3 linked regions of the Oryctolagus cuniculus genome follow. The protein of the gene in region 2 interacts with the protein of the main gene of each other region in a pairwise test. Links are inferred from orthologs where the notes say so. Each region holds a gene or a part of one and is shown on either strand. Other genes may lie near its edges.

Region 1 (6,389 bases), on a different chromosome or scaffold from region 2:
AGCAAAATTCCCAGAGAGAGCAGGAAAAATTGGGTGATAAATAATTATCAAAGAAATAATTAAAGAACATCTCCCAGAGGGAGGGAGGAAGGGAAGTATCCTCACAGTCTTAGAATTTTATCTACGAACTACACTGAATCTGTTCTCTTTGCATTAATATCACAACACGAGAATTGTGTTGTAGTGATTCTCATGCGTTTGCTGTGATCCTGAGGATCTAATGTATTAATACTTTCCTTTAAGAGAAAGACCTCTCAAATGGTCCATCGAGCAGTTATCTCCATGATGAAAACACACCACACACGCCATGGCAGATTTCTGCGGAGATTTAGAACACTGGGACCAGAGAGGTGATCCTAGAAACTTGCAGCAGCAGTAGGAAGAGGGTCGCACAGGAAGGATCAGGAACCAGAACAGCATTACACACTGAAAATCAGAAGATAATGGAACAGTGCCTTACACGCTGAGGGAGGCAACTTTCTACATCTAGCCAGACTAATAACACTGTGAAGAGATTATCTATCTACTTTAAGATTTATTTATTTATTTGAACAGTTACACAGAGAGAGAAGGAGAGGCAGAGAGAGAGAGAGAGGTCTTCCACCCACTGGTTCACTCCCAAATGGCTGCACCAGCTGAAGCTGTGCTGATCCAAAACCAGGAGCCAGGAGCTTCTTCCGGATCTCCCACGTGGGTGCAGGGGCCCAAGGCTTTGGGCCATCTTCTACTGCTTTCCCAGGCCATAGCAGAGAGCCAGATCGGAAATGAAGCAGCCAGGACTCGAACCAGTGCCAATATGGGATGCCAGCACTGCAGGCGGCGGCTTTACCCACTACACCACAGTGCCGGCCCTGAGAATAATATTTTAAAAAGTGCAAACCTTCTGCAGATTTACCTCCTGTGCAGACTTTCTCGGGATGCTATTGGAGGGAGAGCACCACTCACTCCATGAAAGAGCAAATCAAGAAAGATACGGGGTCGGCGCCGCAGCTCACTAGGCTAATCCTCTGCTTTCGGCTCCGGCACCCGGGGTTCTAGTCCCGGTCGGGGCACCGGATTCTGTCCCGGTTGCCCCTCTTCCAGGCCAGCTCTCTGCTGTGGCCAGGGAGTGCAGTGGAGGATGGCCCAAGTACTTGGGCCCTGCACCCCATGGGAGACCAGGAGAAGTACATGGCTCCTGCCATCAGATCAGCGCGGTGCGCTGGATGCAGCGCGCCGGCCACAGTGGCCATTGGAGGGTGAACCAACGGCAAAGGAAGACCTTTCTCTCTGTCTCTCTCTCTCACTGTGCACTCTGCCTGTCAAAAAAAAAAAAAAAAAAAAAAAAAAAAAAAAAAGATACGGGCTCTAAGAAACAAGGCGTGCCTCTGAGGAGAGGCCCTGATGGAGCCGTGAAGTGTTTGAGAGGCTTGAGAGGGGAATTCAGACAAGGGGCGGGACATTTGAGGATGATGTACTGAGAACCTCATAGCAAACTAGCTGAAATAACAAAGGCTGTGCTGTGGAGAATGTAAAATCCTAAGACATTTTAGAAGTCACTCTGGAAACTATATAGGCTTAGCTGTGAATATCCTAATAAGGCAAACACTGAATAATTTTATTATTGCTTGGTGGGAGGAGGGGGAGATGGGGTGATGGGAAGGATTTCTGTACAGAAGTGGAGTAAGGAGGGGATGAAAGTTAAACCCTTAACCTCTGTAGTGTGGGAAATCAACAGAAAATGCCCAAGCTTAAGAATCAAGAAGTAGGGATGTAAGCATGCTATTTGGAGCTGAGGAGGTAGGAACCAGTCAACGACTAGAAAATTAACAGCAGTCTCTAGAAAGTGGGGTGGAGGAACTATCACTGTTGACAACAAAACCCGTGGAGCCGTTCGCCTCTTGATGTGCACCTGTGATGTAATGCGGCAGGGTCTTAGGGTCACAGGGCAGGCACCGTCGTGAAGAAGTTGGGGTGCCAGCTGTGGAGGTGTTCCGCTTTCACTCTCCCGGAGCGGGCGAGGATCCCGGTGCTCCCGTACTTAGGAATCAGAGCGCCGCGAAGCCCCTGATGCTGCCAAGCAGCCGCGGAGGCACAGGTTCAGACCTGTGCCCCTGAGCTGCGAGGGACCCCCGGGGATGACCCACAAAGGCAGACTCACTTCCAGGGCAGACAGGGAGGCTGTGCGTGGCGGAGGGAGGTCCTGGAGCCCCAGCCACTGGGGGGCGGGGTGGGGGGGCAAGCCTGCCCTCCTCCAGGACCTGCTAGTGATTTCCTGGAGAGCACAGGGAAGCAGGTTAGTCCCCTCTGTTCCCCAGCCCTCGTCTTCCCGGTTCACTCTCAGGTTGGACTAGTCTTGGGCCCTATGGACATCTTACTGGCGAATCTGGACCAGTTTGATAGTTAATACCCTAAACGTGAAGATCAGAGTTCAGTGGGATGGGATTTTAATACTTAACTTTTTTTAAAGTTTTTTTTTTTTTTTTTTTTTTTTTTTTTTTTTTTTTTTTTTTTTAAGATTTATTTATCTGAAAGGCAGGGTGACAGAGAGAGAAAGGGAGAGACAGAGAGTGAGATCTTACATCTACTGGTTCACTCCCCAAATGGCCATAATGGCTGGGCCTGAGCCAGATCAAAGCCAGGAGCCTGCAACTCCATCTGGGTTTCCCATGTTCTGCTGCTTTCCCAGGAGCATTAGCAGGAAGCTGGATCAGAGGCGGAGGAGCCGGGACTCGAACCACCATTCATATGGGATGCCAGAATGGCAGGCAGCAGCTTAACCTGCTGCTGCACAACGCCAAAGGCCCCAATACTTAACATGTTCTGAGACTTTTCTTTGTGTTAGGCACTGTATTGAGTCCTTAGTAGATCTCATCTCAAAATCCTTACAGCCACTTGTGAAAAGAGTGATTTAGCCCTGTTTTACAAGCACGGAAACTGAAGCGCAAAGATAAAAAAAAAAGAATCCCCAGTTTTAAGCAGGTCATATAGCTAATCTGTGGCAGAGCTGAAAAACCTTTACAACTTTTTTCTAAGAGAGCATGTGTATGAGTGAAAGCAGGCTCCTGTCTGCTGGTTCACTACCCCCATGCCCGCAAAGGCCCAGCCACAGCCCGGAACTGGGAACTTAACCTAGGTCTCCCATGTGAGTGGCAGGGACACAACTACTCAAACATCACTGCCTCCCAGGGTCTGCATTAGCAGGAAGCTGGAGTCAGGAGCCAGACCTGGGTGTTGAACCCAGGCATTCCAATGTGGGGCATGGGCATCTTAAGTGCTTTTTTTTTTTTCCCCAAGATTTATTTATTTGCTTGAAAGGCAGAGTTACAGAGAGGCAGAGAAATAGAGAAGTCTTCCATCTGTTGGTTCACTCCCCAGTTGGTGCAATGGCCAGAGCTGAGCTGATCCAAAGCCAGGAGCCTGGAGCTTCATCTGGGTCTGCCACGTGGATGCAGGGGCCCAAGAACTTGGGCCATCTTCTGCTAATTTCCCAGGCCATAGCAGAGAGCTGGATTGGAAGTGCAGGCGGCAGCTTTACCCGCTACACCACAGCACCGGCCCCTTAAGTGGTGTTTTAACCACGAGGCTAAACACCCACCCTGAGAGCTAATTTTTTTTTTTTTTTTTAAGATTTATTGTTTTAAAAGTCAGAGTCAGAATGACAGAGAAAGAGGTCCTCTGTCCACTGGTTCATTCCTCAAATGCTCACAGCTCAGACCAAAGCCAGGAGCCAAGAACTCCACCCACATATCCCATATGGGTGTCAAGAAACCAAGTACTTGGCCATCATCCGTTGTCTCCCAGGTACATTAGCAGAAAGCTGGATCAGAAGCAAGGAGTAGCCAGGACTGAAACCATGTACTCTGATAGAGGATGCGGGTGTCCCGAGCAGCAGCATAATTCATTTTGACAGCTGGAATTCCAAGCAGCAGTTTGGCTGCCTCTGAAACCCACGCCCCAAACCATTCTATCTCAAGGCTTCTTAAAAGTGAAGCACAGGCTGGCGCCGCGGCTCACTAGGCTAATCCTCCGCCTAGCGGCGCCAGCACACCGGGTTCTAGTCCCGGTCGGGGCGCCGGATTCTGTCCCAGTTGCCCCTCTTCCAGGCCAGCCCTCTGCTGTGGCCAGGGAGTGCAGTGGAGGATGGCCCAGGTACTTGGGCCCTGCACCCCATGGGAGACCGGGAAAAGCACCTGGCTCCTGGCTCCTGCCATCGGATCAGCGCGGTGCACTGGCCGCGGCGGCCATTGGAGGGTGAACCAACGGCAAAAGGAAGACCTTTCTCTCTGTCTCTCTCTCTCACTGTCCACTCTGCCTGTCAAAAAAAAAAAAAAAAAAAAAAAGTGAAGCACAGTTCGTGGAGTAGGCCTCTTAGACATGCTGCGGAACCCCTTGGCCCCAAATCCAGAACTAACTCCTTCTCCCACTCCCTCCAGGCTTACCTGCGAGCCGTGGACGTGAAGATCCTGCAGCAGCTGGTGACCTTGAATGAGGGCATCGAGGCAGTGCGCTGGCTGTTGGAGGAGCGGGGGACATTGACCAGCCATTGCAGCAGCCTCACCAGCAGCCAATACAGCCTGACGGGCGGGAGCCCAGGCCGCTCTAGGCGAGGCAGCTGGGACAGCCTGCCGGACGCCAGTTCGGCTGACCGCCTGGATAGCGTCTCTATTGGCAGCTTCCTGGACACCGTGGCCCCCAGCGAGCTGGATGAGCAGGGCCCACCTGGCGCTCCCCACCCGGAGACCAACTGGGCAAAGGCTCTGCCCAGTGGGGAGAGGGCCAGGACGGAGGCGGAGCTGACAGCCAGCAGGCTAGGGAGCTTGAGATCCGTGTGGAAGCCCCCAGGGGAGGGGCTGCAAGGCGGAACTCCTGAGTCCCCAGAGGAGGAGAGCGCTCAGCTGGGCTTTGAGAGTCACTGGTACTGGGGGCAGTGCCAGGATGATGTGACCTTCTTGTAATGACTTTCCCACTCCTTTGTATTCCTGTTGCTCTTTTACCCCTCGGCCCGGTCTCTTGCAAAATTTACTCTCCCCCAATCTGGGACTAGGAAGAGGCTGCATGGACATCACTATGGAAACCTAGCTCACCAGCCCTCTGGTCCCTAGGGAGCCTCTGCCTTCATCTCTCAATTACTCGGTCCCTAGAGCTATTTCTATAGAGACGTTGACTCTGGAGGCCTGGCCCGGAATTCTGGTGTGATGGTGCCTTCCCTCTCTACCCCTGACTTGGTAAGGGCTTAAGGAATTTAGGAGACCACTGATGAAGAGACAGAGGTGTAATTACCTTATCCACAGTCTAGAAGCCTGGGCCCCTGCCTCATGGCCAAAAGATTGAAGAGGAACCTGGACTTTCAGGGCCAACCCTCCATGGCTTGGCCCTCCCAGAAGCCTTTAGGCTGGTAGCCCCACTCTTTCCTACCTGCTGAGTGATGTCATTTCCTGCCTGGATGGACTAGCCTTTCCTCTGTACCAGTCCTTGGCTGGTGATAGGTCAGTGTTTGAGCCCCTGATGTCAAGTGGGACCATAGCACTTCCTGTCCATACCATTACTTCTTGTGAGGGAGAAGTCGCAGGAAGGTTCCTCGCTGTGTACTGTTGGTGCTGCTTTTCAGAAGATTCTTATTTTTAAAACGGAGTTCTCATTTTGTCCTTGGGAGGGGTCTCACTTCCTCTGTGGCTGCACCTGCTGGATGCCTCGCTCCAGTGGTCTCTGTGCTTTTTGGGAGAGAAACTGCCAGAGGCCTTCACCTTTGGCTCTCAGTCTGTCGGGGTCCCTCCCCCACCCCCAGCCCTCCTCGTTCCCTGTCCCTGCTGGCTCCATTCCTGTCTTCCAGCTCCCTTTCTCTTTCCTCCTCAGGCCTTTTATATGGAGATGAGTCCTGACCCCCTCTCCCTACTGTTGTGGGGAGCCTAGGGGGTGTACAAGAATCTTGGGTGGGGGTGGGGTGGCAGTGTCACCCCCCCATGACTACCCTTCCCCCACCCTATCCCCAGCCTCCCACCGTTTGTCACAAGGATGCCTGCCTGAGGTTGGTACACAAGGAATCTCCTTGTCTGGACCACAATGTGGGGGTGTGGCAGGGAAAGACAGAGGCTCTTTGGTCCCTGGGCTCTGTCATGGAGGGAGGAGGGACAGGGGAAAGGCTTCTCACCCTTGTCTCTTAGAGCAAGCCCCTGACTCCTAGACCCTAGGAGGAAGCAGGGGACTGGCTCTGGGCCCGGGTTCCAGGGCTCTAGCAATAACACCAAAGAAGGCTCTCAGGAAAGCTACCAAGCTCGGGCTCAGGGACTAGATAGGGGGAGAGTGGGTCAAGGACTGTGACTCCTGTCAGAGTGAACACTTGGGAATTAACCCTTTGAACCCTGGGTAACTGCTCCAATGTTGGGCCCTGTGATTAGATCATTGGAGGG
Region 2 (6,389 bases):
TGTGGGTGAAGACCGTCTTCATTCCCAAAAGGAACTGCCAGAGCTGCAGCATGATAGGTGGCCGCTTTGAAGAAGTGAGAGGGACTACTTTTCTGTGACTCCAATCTGCTGTTTTGCCAAACAAGTGTAGGGAAATTGGACAGTGTGCTAGTTTCTTGCTAAGTATGAGTCACTATGAATCTGCTCTGTAATATCTCTCATGTGCATCTTGCCTAATTCTTTCTCTGACATGTCTCATATTATATCCTAGAGCACTGATATTTTGTAGGAAGAATATTTTACCTAATTGGGTAAGGTCCACAGGGGTGAATTTATTTCCTTGGATTTTGCCTAATAATAAAGTGGTTTTTTTTCTTACTTGAGAGATAGGTTGTTAATGGATTTAACAAATTCATCTTTTTCTTAAAAGAACATGGACTACTGATTTGAAATTATCCAGTGTCACCAGGTTATAGTCTCCAAAATTCATCTTTTTGTTGCCAAGTTGGAAAACTGAAGTTATTTAAAAATTACTATTCTAACAAATTGAAATAATTTCAGGTAAATGAAAAGCTTGTGGTCCAATGTTAAATGGCCAAATTTGAATAACTGGCCCATTAACTATGTCTTAAACCTCTCCTGTCTCTCAGCAACTGATACATGCTTCAATTCATACCTCTGAAATATACCTCCAAGTGTGATGAACTGTCACAGAGAGCCTGGACTTTGGGGACAGACACATGTGGGTTTTAAACACATTGTAGTCTCTTAGCAGTATGTGACCTTTAAAAAAAGTTGTATATCCTCTTTAAGCCTCAGTTCTGTGGAATGCCCCATAGCTTTGTAGGGGTGCTTGGGGTCAGTGAGATATTAGTAAACACCACCATTCAGTTTCTTCAGTCTACAGCCCAGGAGGCACCCTTCCCTCACTATCCCATTCTGCAGGTCAGAGCATGGCCTGTTAGTTTTACACGGAAAACACTTTTTATCCGCTCCGCCTCCCTTGGCTAAGTCATCCTCTTATCTCATCTGGATGGCTACAGCAGCCTCCTGACTGTCTTGCTCTCTTGTCCCTCTGGAATCCACTTCCCACCCAGGAGCCAAGTAATCTTACAGATGTAGAGCAGATCATGTCACTTTCTTTGCTAAAACTACCAAGTATGTTCCCACTGTATTTAGAATGAAATCCAAACTACCTTCCAAGCCCTGCGAAGCTACACAATCTGGCCCCTCCTTACCTCTCCAACTTCATTTTGAACCCTTCTCCCACTTGGTCCACATGCTCTTGCCTCCCTAACCTTTTCTTTCCTGGGGCACACCAAGCTGGTTCCAGCATCAGGACCTTTGTCACTGCTGCAGACACGGGTGCTAGAGATGACTCCTCATTGAGCAAGGCTTGGCCCAAGCATCCACCCCTCTGGGAGGCCTTCCTGGTCACCAGCTAGGTAGGCCCCCTCCTTGGCTCCTTCTCAGTCTAGTAGCACATTTTAAATCTACAGTCACCCTTCCTTCTTTGCTTGTGTGTTGCCTATCTCTTCCGTGGTGGGAGATGGCCCATCTCTGTCTTGTTCACAACTATTTCCTAGCACCCACTGTGGTGCTTATCAGATTAAAGACACATAGACATATTTGTTAAATGGATGATTGCCCATTTTGTGTAAAAAGTCACATGGGTACCATCCCTAGTGCTAGGCTGGCCAATTTAGTTCTCATAGAATCTCCAGCCTTTTCTCTCTCAGTCTAGTGCCCTTTGACCATTATCAAAACAGCTTCCCCAGGGAGTGTCTGATGCTGAGGTAGGCCAGATGTGCATCCTACTGGAATGATAAGTACATATTCCTTTTCCCGCTTGTGTCGCTCCTCCGCATCCTTCATCATTTCTTGTGCCTGTTCAAGTTTTGCATCCACCAGCTTCTGCTGCAGTTCTCTGTGTTTAAATATCTTGTCCAGATGCTAAGGAAAAATAAAGTATACGCATGAAACTTGGTTTACTGTTGAGGCTTAGACATTTTAAATTAAAAAAAGTAACATAAACTTCCATTCTCCAGATTTTAAGATTTTTTTAAAAGGGGAAATCGCATGGCTATCACTTTACATTAAAGACATCAATTGGTGAAGTCCCTAACCCTTCACAGTAAACAAAGGTAGCTGCAAAAGTTAGAGTTCAACAGCATTTTTAAAAATTTGGTAATGAGTAGATATGGTCTTTATTTATTTATTTAGCTACAGCACACACAATGATTTATACTTCAAAGACTATAGCATTTGGCTCTTTCTATGAATATAAATCCACTTTTGATCATAATATTTATGCAGTTTATCATGTTGAATTCACATTCTTGCTTCAAGGGTTGTGAGAAAGCCTTGGGGTGCCAGCCAATGGTTCTAGGAGTGTGGCCCCCCACCTCCTAAATTCTGTGTTGCTCTGGTGGGGATGGCAAAGCCAGTGGGATGAATTGATATACAAGTGTGCAGAGTCTTCCACACCTTTTGACCTCTGGACTTAACCAGGCAAAGAGAAGCTCCCACCCTACCTTAATATAAAAAGTTTCTATCATTAAGCCCAATTTTGTCATCAGAAAGAGGGCAGGTAGAATTCTGTCCTTGGGACTTAGCCAGAACAATCCTAGAGGAATTTATAACCTGTATACCAGGCCATTCCCGTCCAAAATTTCTCTGAAGAGCATGGGCATTTTCCTTTTGCTTCTTATTTAGCCTGAGCCTCCTTTCTGGAGTGGGGTTGATCCCTGTGACCAGATGAAATGGTAGCATTGCTTACTGTGAGGAGTTGAGGAGTGAGTTGGCATACTGTGAGTTGAGTTACCTAACTACTGTGAACACACACCATTGGCTCAGTTTTTCTCTTGATAAAATCTTAGCATCTTCCAACAGAGTTGCTTTGACTATGTTATGTTATATTTTAAGGCAGGTAAGTAAAATCTGGGTGGGGTAGGGAGAGGAATGTAATATATTCAAAATCCTGAGAGGTTATCTGGAATCTTAAAAATATTCAATATTAAAATATAACTTTGGGATCACAGGAGACCCTATCATGCTCCTAATGTTAGAGTATCGAAAGCACAAGTCTCTGGCTTTTGTGACTGTGGGATGGTGATTTAATGTCACAGCTTCTGCTTCCAATCTACAAAATGTGGATAGTATATTATTGTCTAGTGCATGGGATTGTTGAGACAGTTCAGTGACATATTATATGTAAAAGGTGGTATTTAGCACATTGTCTGACATGACGGAAGCACAGAGTAAGTGACACTATAATTATGACATTATTGATCGTGTTTTAGTGGCTTGTGGGGTATATAGAATGAATGAGGGATTCTTTATTTAGATGACATGGTGATTCCTAAGAGAGTATATGTGAATCACTTTTTGGCTCTATGGAGGGGATTTTTCAGAGGCTGAGAAATGCTGTTTTCAAGGGTGGCTGTGCCTCCAGCCTATTGCATTTGCTTAGCAGTGATTCCAGTTTTGAAGAAATCCCATAGGACTTTCAGCCAGGTATTCCATAGTACCATCTCTCTCTATTTTGGCGGGTAAAAGAAATCCAGCCCTAAATATTAATCAGTTGAGAAGTGAGGATTGGCCATAACTTTCTTATTGACCAGCTTCGCAACCTTCACGCCCCAGATTCAGATCCATAGAGTTCTAAGTGGATGCGTGTGCTTCTCACCTCCTCCCGGAGCTCGTACTGATCGATGATGCTTTTCAGTTTCTCTGCCAGCTCTGTGTTCTCCTGACAGAGCTTCATGTTTCGCTCACTCTGCTGCTCGATCTGAGCCTGGATGTCTGTCAGGGTACTCTGGAAATGACTTGTGATCTCTTTCCTTTTCTCTTCTTCCTCACGTGCTCGCTGAAGGGTTTCCTCCTGTGAATAAAAAACAAAATATTTTATGATGATGGTTCAAATGTGCTCTGAGTTTACAGAACCCAGGATTAGCCCACACGAAAAGGGGATTAGCGGGTAGGGTAAGTGGATATTTTTTCTCAGTTCTTTAGAACTAACCATGCTCAATCCCAAGTGAATGTGTGAGCAAGGGTTTCAGCTGTGAGGAGGCAGTCACTCAGAGCAGGTGCTGATAGCTGGTGCTGAATAGGGTTGTTTTAAGAATGATAGATCTCCTGCTGAGTGAATGAACTGCCACGATTTCTAACAAACAGGCAGTCACAGGGGTTTGATCTCTTGGCTGTGGCCTGGAAAAAAGGCCACTCAGTTTTCATGATTGATGGGCCAGATCCTGTGTTCTTTTGGTTTGGTACAGGAAAAAGAACAATAGATCTTATATTTCTCTGTAAAAACTGTGGCTTATTAACCACATAAATGTATTACCCAAGTTTCACAAATATGAATGACCACAGTATAAACTTTCTTAGTAAGAAAAAACTTCAATCAAAAGGCTTAAAAAAGGAAACTAATTTATAAAGAGCAATTGAAGCTATTCAAACATATAAAAGGAAGTCTTCCCAAACATGTGTGATATTTTATTTCTGAAAGAATAATCATCCCACATGTCACATGTAGTAATTGAAATGTTCAGTGTAAATCTTGGTTGTGAAAGCAATATTAAGTTTCAAATCTTCTTCAATGAAAAAATGAAACATCTAATTTACTCTGCTCCTTTGTTAAAATTGAAGAATTGGAAGTTTTATACCATTTCTGTTCTTTTTCTTTTAAATCAAAACTCTCCATTCATTGCAGCTACTAAAAATGTGCTCAAATTCCCTCCACATCTATTTTGAGAATTGTTTGCTTTGTGATTGTTCCTCTCACTTTAGAATAAAAGGGTTTAATTTTGTTACATCATACCATGACAGAGACACATTGCTGACAAGTGTAACATTTTAGGCTTCCTTTCAGTCCTGATTAATTAATATGAAAGCTTCCTTCATTGTTAGCAAGTAAAATCATACTTCATTGAGTTTTCCACCAAATTCAAATTATGTAACATGATTTTTTTAAGGAAATAATAATTTTAATATGAGCAGTTCTTATTATAATAGAACAACATAGTCAAAAAGAAATCTGATCCTAGAAATATATTCTATGGAAATAATTTATCATTATCTTCTTTGCACTACAGAATTAACAGTCCCACACTCTAAGATGACTCCTGACGTCAGAACCATAATTTATTCATGTTATGAATCTTTATTGAACAACAACTTCTCAGGAACATTTTAGATATCTGAACTTCCTAATCTGAAGGAATTAACTCTCCAAAATTTTATTTCTTTGAACTTTGTATGAGAGTACCTGAAAACATTTGTGAAAATGAAGTTCAAAGATAAGTTTATTTTGGTAGAAAAAATTAAAACCTGTGCAACAGTGTTTCATCATACACATTTTCCATGAACTCTTTCAAGACCTTCATTTGCATGAATTCCAAAAACTTTTTTGATCAAAATAAACTTACCTTTTGACTCCATTTTCAAAGAATGCTTTGAAGTAGCCTTGAATAATAACCCTATATGTGAGTTTCACTAAGATGATTATGGTTCCTGGAATAACAATATGATGGTTGTTGCCTCCTCCTTGCCCCTGATTTGCTTAGAAGTCATTAAGTTCTCAATAGAACTAGAGACTATGATGAACTGGACTTCTGTTGGCATTAACAAATATTCCATCCATGAATACATGAGCAATTGCCGAAACTATTCCATGCTACTTAGCAAGTGTGACTTTTTCATTGGAAGCTGGCTAGATTACGGTGACATTAAACACATGTCAAACTATCCTACACCCAACCCTGGCTCACAGAATGACATCTTACATTTTACATTATGTTGTTTTCCAGTGAGTCAAAAATAAGCCCAGCAAAATTTTATAAAATTTGAGTCCACTGATAAAGAATTTGCAATTTCTTTTCTTTATATCAAATATATTATTCAAAATGAAAATCAATAGTGAAAAGAAGATTGAGGGACAATGTCTGAAATAACTAAGAAAACAAACTTTGCATGCATCATTGTCCATGTTAGAACTGGTGTTGTGCTTGGCACATAAGCCACAGTATTCAGTAAATGTTTAATGAAACAATGAATTATTAATTTATGTACAGATATATGAGTAGCTTGGACCAAGTGATTCCTATGGTCCTTTCCACATTAAAATTCTGTGATATTCCGATAACAGATGCTACTTATTTCTTTATTAAAGTTGTGTTGCCTGAAACACAAACCTATCTCTTATTAGACACTTTTTTTTCAATATAGTTTGAGGCTCAGATTTACTGCTTCAGATATGGGATTACTTCACAAAGTGTGTGGAAAATGGAATGAAAAGATGAATTTATTTTGGTGTAAAAAAAAGTTTAAAATCCATACACAGTTTTTTATAGTAAGCATTTGCCATGAACTTTTTGAAGATACCTTGTATTTATGGATTTTGTTTGATT
Region 3 (6,389 bases), about 33 Mb from region 2:
CTAGAAATAGGTTAAACTGAAACAACTTAAGGGAAGAACTCTCCACAAGGCTTGTTTTCCAAAGTATTGTTAAGGGGAACAAAATTATAAACCTACTGAGGTGTGTTGTAAAGCTCTTAAAAGTAAGCCACCAAGGTTCGTGGATGGAAATGTAGTGCCCAAGTCATTTTTCTTTAAAAGGCTGTAACAAATACAGATGAGTCGAAAAGGTGTAATATATATATATTATGTATATAATATATGTAATATATATTATATATTATGCATATAATATATAATTATATAGGTAATATGAATATGTAATATAAAATATATAATATATAATATAAAATTAGAGGAATGGTACAAAGTATGTTATAAAAACATCACTTTTATGTAGAAAATTGTATGTGTATTTAATTCTAGATTCTTCATGTCACTTCTGTTGCTAAGTTTCTATGAACTTAGACAAGTCAATATTTTTAATTTTAACTTCTTTAGCTATGAAGATTAAGATAACCAGTTGGGTACATGTCACAGGTTTATCATAAAAACATCATTACAAAACATGAAAATACTCTGGAGAATGAAAGATCAGATTTGGAATCATTCTGAACTAGTTGATTAGAATGCTAGGGAATTAAATGAAATTGTGTCTTACTCAAAGATTAGGTTCAGAAATTGCATATATCCAAATTATCTGTGAAAATCCTTTAGGAAGCCAGTATATCCAAGTAACTACAAAATACTAATATTGTGACTTTAAATATGCACTTAGGAGAATCTTAAAATGGGATCAGGAAAATATTTATGGCTCTAGGCATAACTTAATACCATACAGAATACTTTCATAAACACTAATTTTTTCCTTATTTTTAATATGCTATAATAATGGTTATCATCTAGCTTTGTGGAATAAGCCACAAGAAATAATAGTCCAATTAATGAGCCAGCTACAGAATCTGTGTGAAAAGCAATAAATATGATCTTTATCTCATTTGTAAAAATCAAATGATAAATGTCTAGCAAACTTCTTTCTATTTGGATAACAACTATATGAAAGTTAATTTATAATATTTACATTCCATTCATCGCTAGTTTTATAGTTTGAACTTATAACTGAATAGAAAGTGTAAAATAGTATCTGAAAATAATTTCTTTATTTCTTTTTATTTATTTATTTTGACAGGCAGAGTTAGGGAGAGAAAGAGAGACAGAGAGAAAGGTCTTCCTTCCGTTGGTTCACCCCCCAAATGGCTGCTATGGCCAGCGCACCGCGCCGATCCAAAGCCAGGAGCCAGGTGCTTCCTCCCGGTCTCCCATGCAGGTGTAGGGCCTAAGCACTTGGGCCATCCTCCACTGCACTCCTGGGCCACAGCAGAGAGCTGGCCTGGAAGAGGAGCAACCGGGACAGTATCCGGCGCCCCAACTGAGACTAGAACCCGGGGTGCCGGCGCTGCAGGCAGAAGATTAGCCTAGTGAGCCACGGTGCCAGCCCTGAAAATAATTTCTTAAAAAGATTGATTTATTTATTTGAAAGGCAGAGAGAGAGAGTGAGAGATCTTGCATCTGCTGGTTCACTTTCCAAATGGCTGCAGTGGCTGGAGCTGGGCCAGCAAAAGCCAGGAGCCAGGAGCTTCTTCCAGGTCTCCTGTGTGGGTGCAGGAGCCCAAGCACTTGGGTCGTCCTCCGCTGCTTTCCCAGGCCCATTAATGGAGCTGGATCAGAAATGGAGCATCCAAGACTCACTTGAACCAGGGTCCATATGGGATGCTGGTGTCGCAGGCAGCAACCCAAACTGCTATGCCACAATGTGGCCCCGTGTATTTGAAGATTTTTAACTTTGGACTTAGCTGAGTCAGGAAGATATTATTAGTAAATTGAGTAAAAATCACAGTAGCACATGTATGTTACTGGCATCATAAAACCATTACATTTTAATCATTTTTCTAATGAAAGAAACTGATCTTATCTGTCTATATTTTTATCACAATTTCTTGGACAATTTAATATATGGTTGTACTTTGACTAAAAATGAGCACAAGAACTGAAAAAAACCTTTAGCTTTGAACCAAATTGCCATGTTAACTAGTGGATTGTACGTTTTAATTTTCTTCATCTGTACTCAGACTCCTCTGCCTCCTAGATCAGGCATTATCTTACATTTAAGAAATATTTATCTTCTTCAATTGTGTTCATTCGCTATCTCCATCCTAGAAATGACTAAATACAGTCATGCACATATTTATTAACAAGATATGTTGGAGAAAATTTGTTCCTCTTTAGAATTTTAGTCCTTATTCTCCATTATTTTGACAAATATTTGTTACTTGAATAATTTTTGACTCACTAACAAAATGTATTGCTCTTTTTTTATGTTACTGTAATTGTAAATGTTCAAAAGTTTTCACTCAAAGCATCAAACAATTTTTTTTCAACAGCTCTTATTTTAGCCTTAAGAACTCTTCAGGAAAAGATCCATCGTTTAGAGCTCGAGAGAACACAAGCTGAAGATAACCTGAACATTCTTTCCAGAGAAGCGGCACAGTATAAAAAGGCCTTGCAGAATGAAACAAATGAAAGAAATCTGGCACACCAGGAACTGATAAAGCAGAAAAAAGGTAAAAGCACGCAAACAAAAACAGTAGTTCTTAGAAATGAGGGGTTACCATAGTTTACAATTTGAAACAATGAATTTCAGTAGATTTACTCAAATACCTTTGTTCTAATAGACATTCAGACCTTGTTCTCAGATGTTTCTTTATTTGCAGAAAATGAATGTAACTTTGAATTTACTGCTATTATACCTATTATCTTAGTTTATAAATTCTTCAGACTAAAAGAAAAATTAAATTTTAGACATTGTATATAGAAATTAAAATATTTTCAGAATAACCAACAAAATCCAATTTAACCCATAATATAATTGAGATGCTTTACATTTTTGTTAATACTGATTTTCAAAATTTGAAATATAAAGTGACACTAGAAATTAAATGACATAAGAAACAAAGTGATTCAAAAATAATTTATCTACTTTGAAAGGAAAACAAGGTTAATTAGAGGAAATAGGTAGGTTGTGGCATCTGTGGAAATTAGGAAGCGACATCTGGACACAAGTTTTAGAAATGTGGAGGGCATGGCCGGCGCTGTGGCTCACTAGGCTAATCCTCCGCCTGTGGCGCCGGCACCCCAGGTTCTAGTCCTGGTTGGGGCACTGGATTCTGTCCCGGTTGCCCCTCTTCCAGGCCAGCTCTCTGCTGTGGCCCGGGAGTGCAGTGGAGGATGGCCCAAGTGCTTGGGCCCTGCATCCCATGGGAGACCAGGAGAAGCACCTCGCTCCTGGCTGCGGATCAGCGCGGATCAGCGCGGTGCGCCACAACGGCCGTTGGAGGGTGGAACAACAGTAAAGGAAGAAAGACCTTTCTCTCTGTCTCTCTCTCTCACTGTCCACTCTGCCTGTCAAAAATAAATAAATAAATAAATAAAAATTAAAAAAAAAAAGAAATATGGAGGGTATGCTCTCTATAGAATTTTACTTCAACACTTGGGACTTTTTCTTTTCTTGTAACATATAAACTTATAAATAAGTCTTGAATTTGTGTTTCAGCTTATAAGTAGAATAAAAGATGGGGAGAAAAAAATTCTGAGATAATTGGATGAAATTAGAGCTGAGGGAAGTAAAATGTTAAAGGATTAGAAAAATGTTGTTTAGGGGCCGGCGCTGTGGTGCAGCAGGTTAACGCCCTGGCCTGCAGTGCTAATATCCCATAGGCTCCGGTTCGAGACTCGGCTGCTCCACTTCCTTTCCAACTCTCTGTTGTAGCCTGGGAAAGCAATAGAAGATAGCCCAAATCCTTGGGCCCCTGCACCCACGTGGGAGACCCAGAGGAGGCTTCTGGCTCCTGGCTTCATATCTGTGCAGCTGTGGCCATTGCGGCCAATTGGGGAGTGAACCAGTGGATGGAAGACCTACCTCTCTCTCTCTCTCTCTCTCTCTCTCTCTCTCTTCCTCTCCTCTCTTTGTATAACTCTGATTTCAAATAAATACATAAATCTTTAAAAAAAAGAAAGAAAAACATTGTTTATCTCTGTGAAGGTAACCTGCTGTCAGTAGTCAAAAGCAAAGGAAAATGGGAATAATGGAATTGCATATTCCTGAGTTTCCTGGAAGAGAAGAAATGTATTGATAGGTAAGAGACTTGATAAAATAGGTTTCAAAATTGTTTTGTACCCAAATAAGCTCGTCTTTTAATTCTGTTTTCCATGACTTCTTCAAGTACCCTCATAAACCTTGTTATTTCCCAGAACATCTTGCAAGTCACTGTCATCCTCCTCTTTCAGAAATATGCCCTCTGGGTTTTGAGGGAAGGCAAAGTTAAATCAGTAACAGATAGTTAATGAGATACAGCATGAGGGCCAGCGCTGTGGCTCAGTAGGTTAATCTTCTGCCTGCAGCGCTGGCATCCATGTAGGCACCGGTTCTAGTTCTGGCTGTTCCTCTTCCAATCTAGCTCTCTGCTATGGCCTGGGAAAGTAGAAGATGGCCTAGACACTTGGGCTCCTGCACCCAGACCTGGAAGAAGCTCCTGGCTCCTGGCTTCAGGTCAGCTCAGCTCCGGCTGTTGCAGCCATTTGGGGAGTGAACCAGCAGGTGGAAAACCTTTCTCCCTGTCTCTCCCTCTCACTGTCTGTAACTCTGTCTCTCAAATAAATAAATAAAATCTTAAAAAAAGAAAGATACAGCATGTATATTCATAACTCTCAAGAGTCAGTACTGACAGCTAAAAGAAGCCTTGAACTTTCTGTTCTTGATTAAATTACCTAATGCGTTTCTCATGATAACCAGATATGTGATAATCAACTGACTCATTATTTTTTCTTGTTCATAGATATAAGTATACAGTTAAGCTCAGCACAGTCTCGTTGTACACTTCTCGAAAAGCAACTGGAATATACAAAGAGAATGGTTCTCAATGTAGAGCGGGAAAAGAATATGATCCTAGAACAACAGGTGAGCATGCTTTCTATAAGGAATGATAATGTAATTTAATATGTTTTTTGAAAAAACATCATGGGAAAATTGTCATAACCTTAAGTAAAGTAGTATATAGATGTCCACTTACAGTATTGGCAGAATAGATCATTTGGACCATTTTATTCTGCAGAATAAAATAAGAAAAAAAGTAGATAAGGCCAGCCTCGTGATGCTTGGGATGCCTGCATCCCATATTGGTGTGCCAGTTGGAGTCACGGATAGTCCACTTCTGAGCCAACCTCCTGCTAATATGCCTAGGAAGCAGCAGGTGATAAGTCAAGTATCTGAGCCCCTGCCACCCGCATGGGAGACCCAAATGAACTTTCTGGTTCCTGTGTTTGGTCTGGCCCAGCCCTGGCTGTTGCAGCTATTCAGGGAGTGAACTAGCAATGGAAGTTTTCTCTGTCACTCTGTCTTTCAAATAAATAAATATTTACAGGAAAGACTAGGTAGAATATTAAAAAAAAAAAAGAGAGAGAGAGAGAGATACACAAATGCATTAGAGAACTAGTAAGACACTAAAAATCACCAGTTGAAATCCATGTGTAGACTTAAATCCAGGGAATTCAGACTCCTTTCTTCTGAGGGCATTTTGGATTCCAGAAAAGATAGTTTGGAGACTATGCCTTTGACAGCCACCCTTCTGGAGCTAAGGCAATCAAAGTTAGGGTTCAAGGCCTACCAAGAGTAGAGGGGCCAGCGCTGTGACGTCGTGGGTTAAGCTGCCACCTGCAGTGCCAGTATCCCAAATGGGTACCGGTTCAAGTTCCAGCTGCTCCACTTCTGATCCAGCTCCTTGCTATGGCCTAGAGAAGCAGTAGAAGATGGCCCAAGTGCTTGGGCCCCTGCCCATGTAGGAGACCTGGAGGAGGCTTTTGGCTCCTGGCTTTGGCCTGGCCGAGCCCTGCCATTGTGAACATTTGGGGAGTGAACTAGCAGATAAAAGATCTCTCTCTCTCTCTCTCTCTCTCTCTCTCTCTCTGTAATTCTGACTTATAAATAAATAAATCTTATAAAGAAAGAAGGAAGGAAGGAATGAAAGGAGGAAGGGAGGAAGGAAACCAGATTACAACTCTGCTCCAGCATGTCTAGGTGGCCTGAAATTGGCCTGAAATATTCCTGAAGTACTAATATCCCCAGGGTCCCCAAATTATTTCTACAAATATTTCTTCTTCACTGCAGTGAGCAACTTTCAATCAAAGATGACCAGGCATAAGAAAGTAAGACCCTGTAAACAAGAAATAGCATATAAAACAGACTATATGGACATTCTCACAGCTACGTACTAGTTTGAATAGACTGATTTTAAAATCATTATGCTTGCTGTGATTAAGAATATTTTTAAAGGGTTGAAAATTTCAGCAGAGGAGCC

Evidence for each region. The genes of interacting proteins can lie anywhere in the genome.
Region 1: the proteins of TXLNB (region 2) and LURAP1 interact in binary tests that used the Homo sapiens proteins (3 or more experiments, as listed by UniProt). The two-hybrid records come from large-scale screens. The link is inferred for Oryctolagus cuniculus from reciprocal best matches to the Homo sapiens genes TXLNB and LURAP1.
Region 3: the proteins of TXLNB (region 2) and CEP57L1 interact in binary tests that used the Homo sapiens proteins (3 or more experiments, as listed by UniProt). The two-hybrid records come from large-scale screens. The link is inferred for Oryctolagus cuniculus from reciprocal best matches to the Homo sapiens genes TXLNB and CEP57L1.

What each region holds. Positions count from the first base shown.
Region 1 is NC_091438.1:126,540,084-126,546,472, reverse strand, and holds part of LURAP1 (leucine rich adaptor protein 1), read left to right. Parts: intron 1-4,415; coding exon 4,416-4,937; 3' UTR 4,938-6,389. UniProt on the Homo sapiens protein: Acts as an activator of the canonical NF-kappa-B pathway and drive the production of pro-inflammatory cytokines. Promotes the antigen (Ag)-presenting and priming function of dendritic cells via the canonical NF-kappa-B pathway.
Region 2 is NC_091436.1:29,577,505-29,583,893, reverse strand, and holds part of TXLNB (beta-taxilin), read right to left. Parts: intron 3,863-6,389; coding exon 3,668-3,862; intron 1,933-3,667; coding exon 1,813-1,932; intron 1-1,812. UniProt on the Homo sapiens protein: Promotes motor nerve regeneration. May be involved in intracellular vesicle traffic.
Region 3 is NC_091436.1:62,275,414-62,281,802, reverse strand, and holds part of CEP57L1 (centrosomal protein CEP57L1), read left to right. Parts: intron 1-2,420; coding exon 2,421-2,600; intron 2,601-4,493; exon of another isoform or gene 4,494-4,585; intron 4,586-4,871; coding exon 4,872-4,993; intron 4,994-6,389. UniProt on the Homo sapiens protein: Centrosomal protein which may be required for microtubule attachment to centrosomes.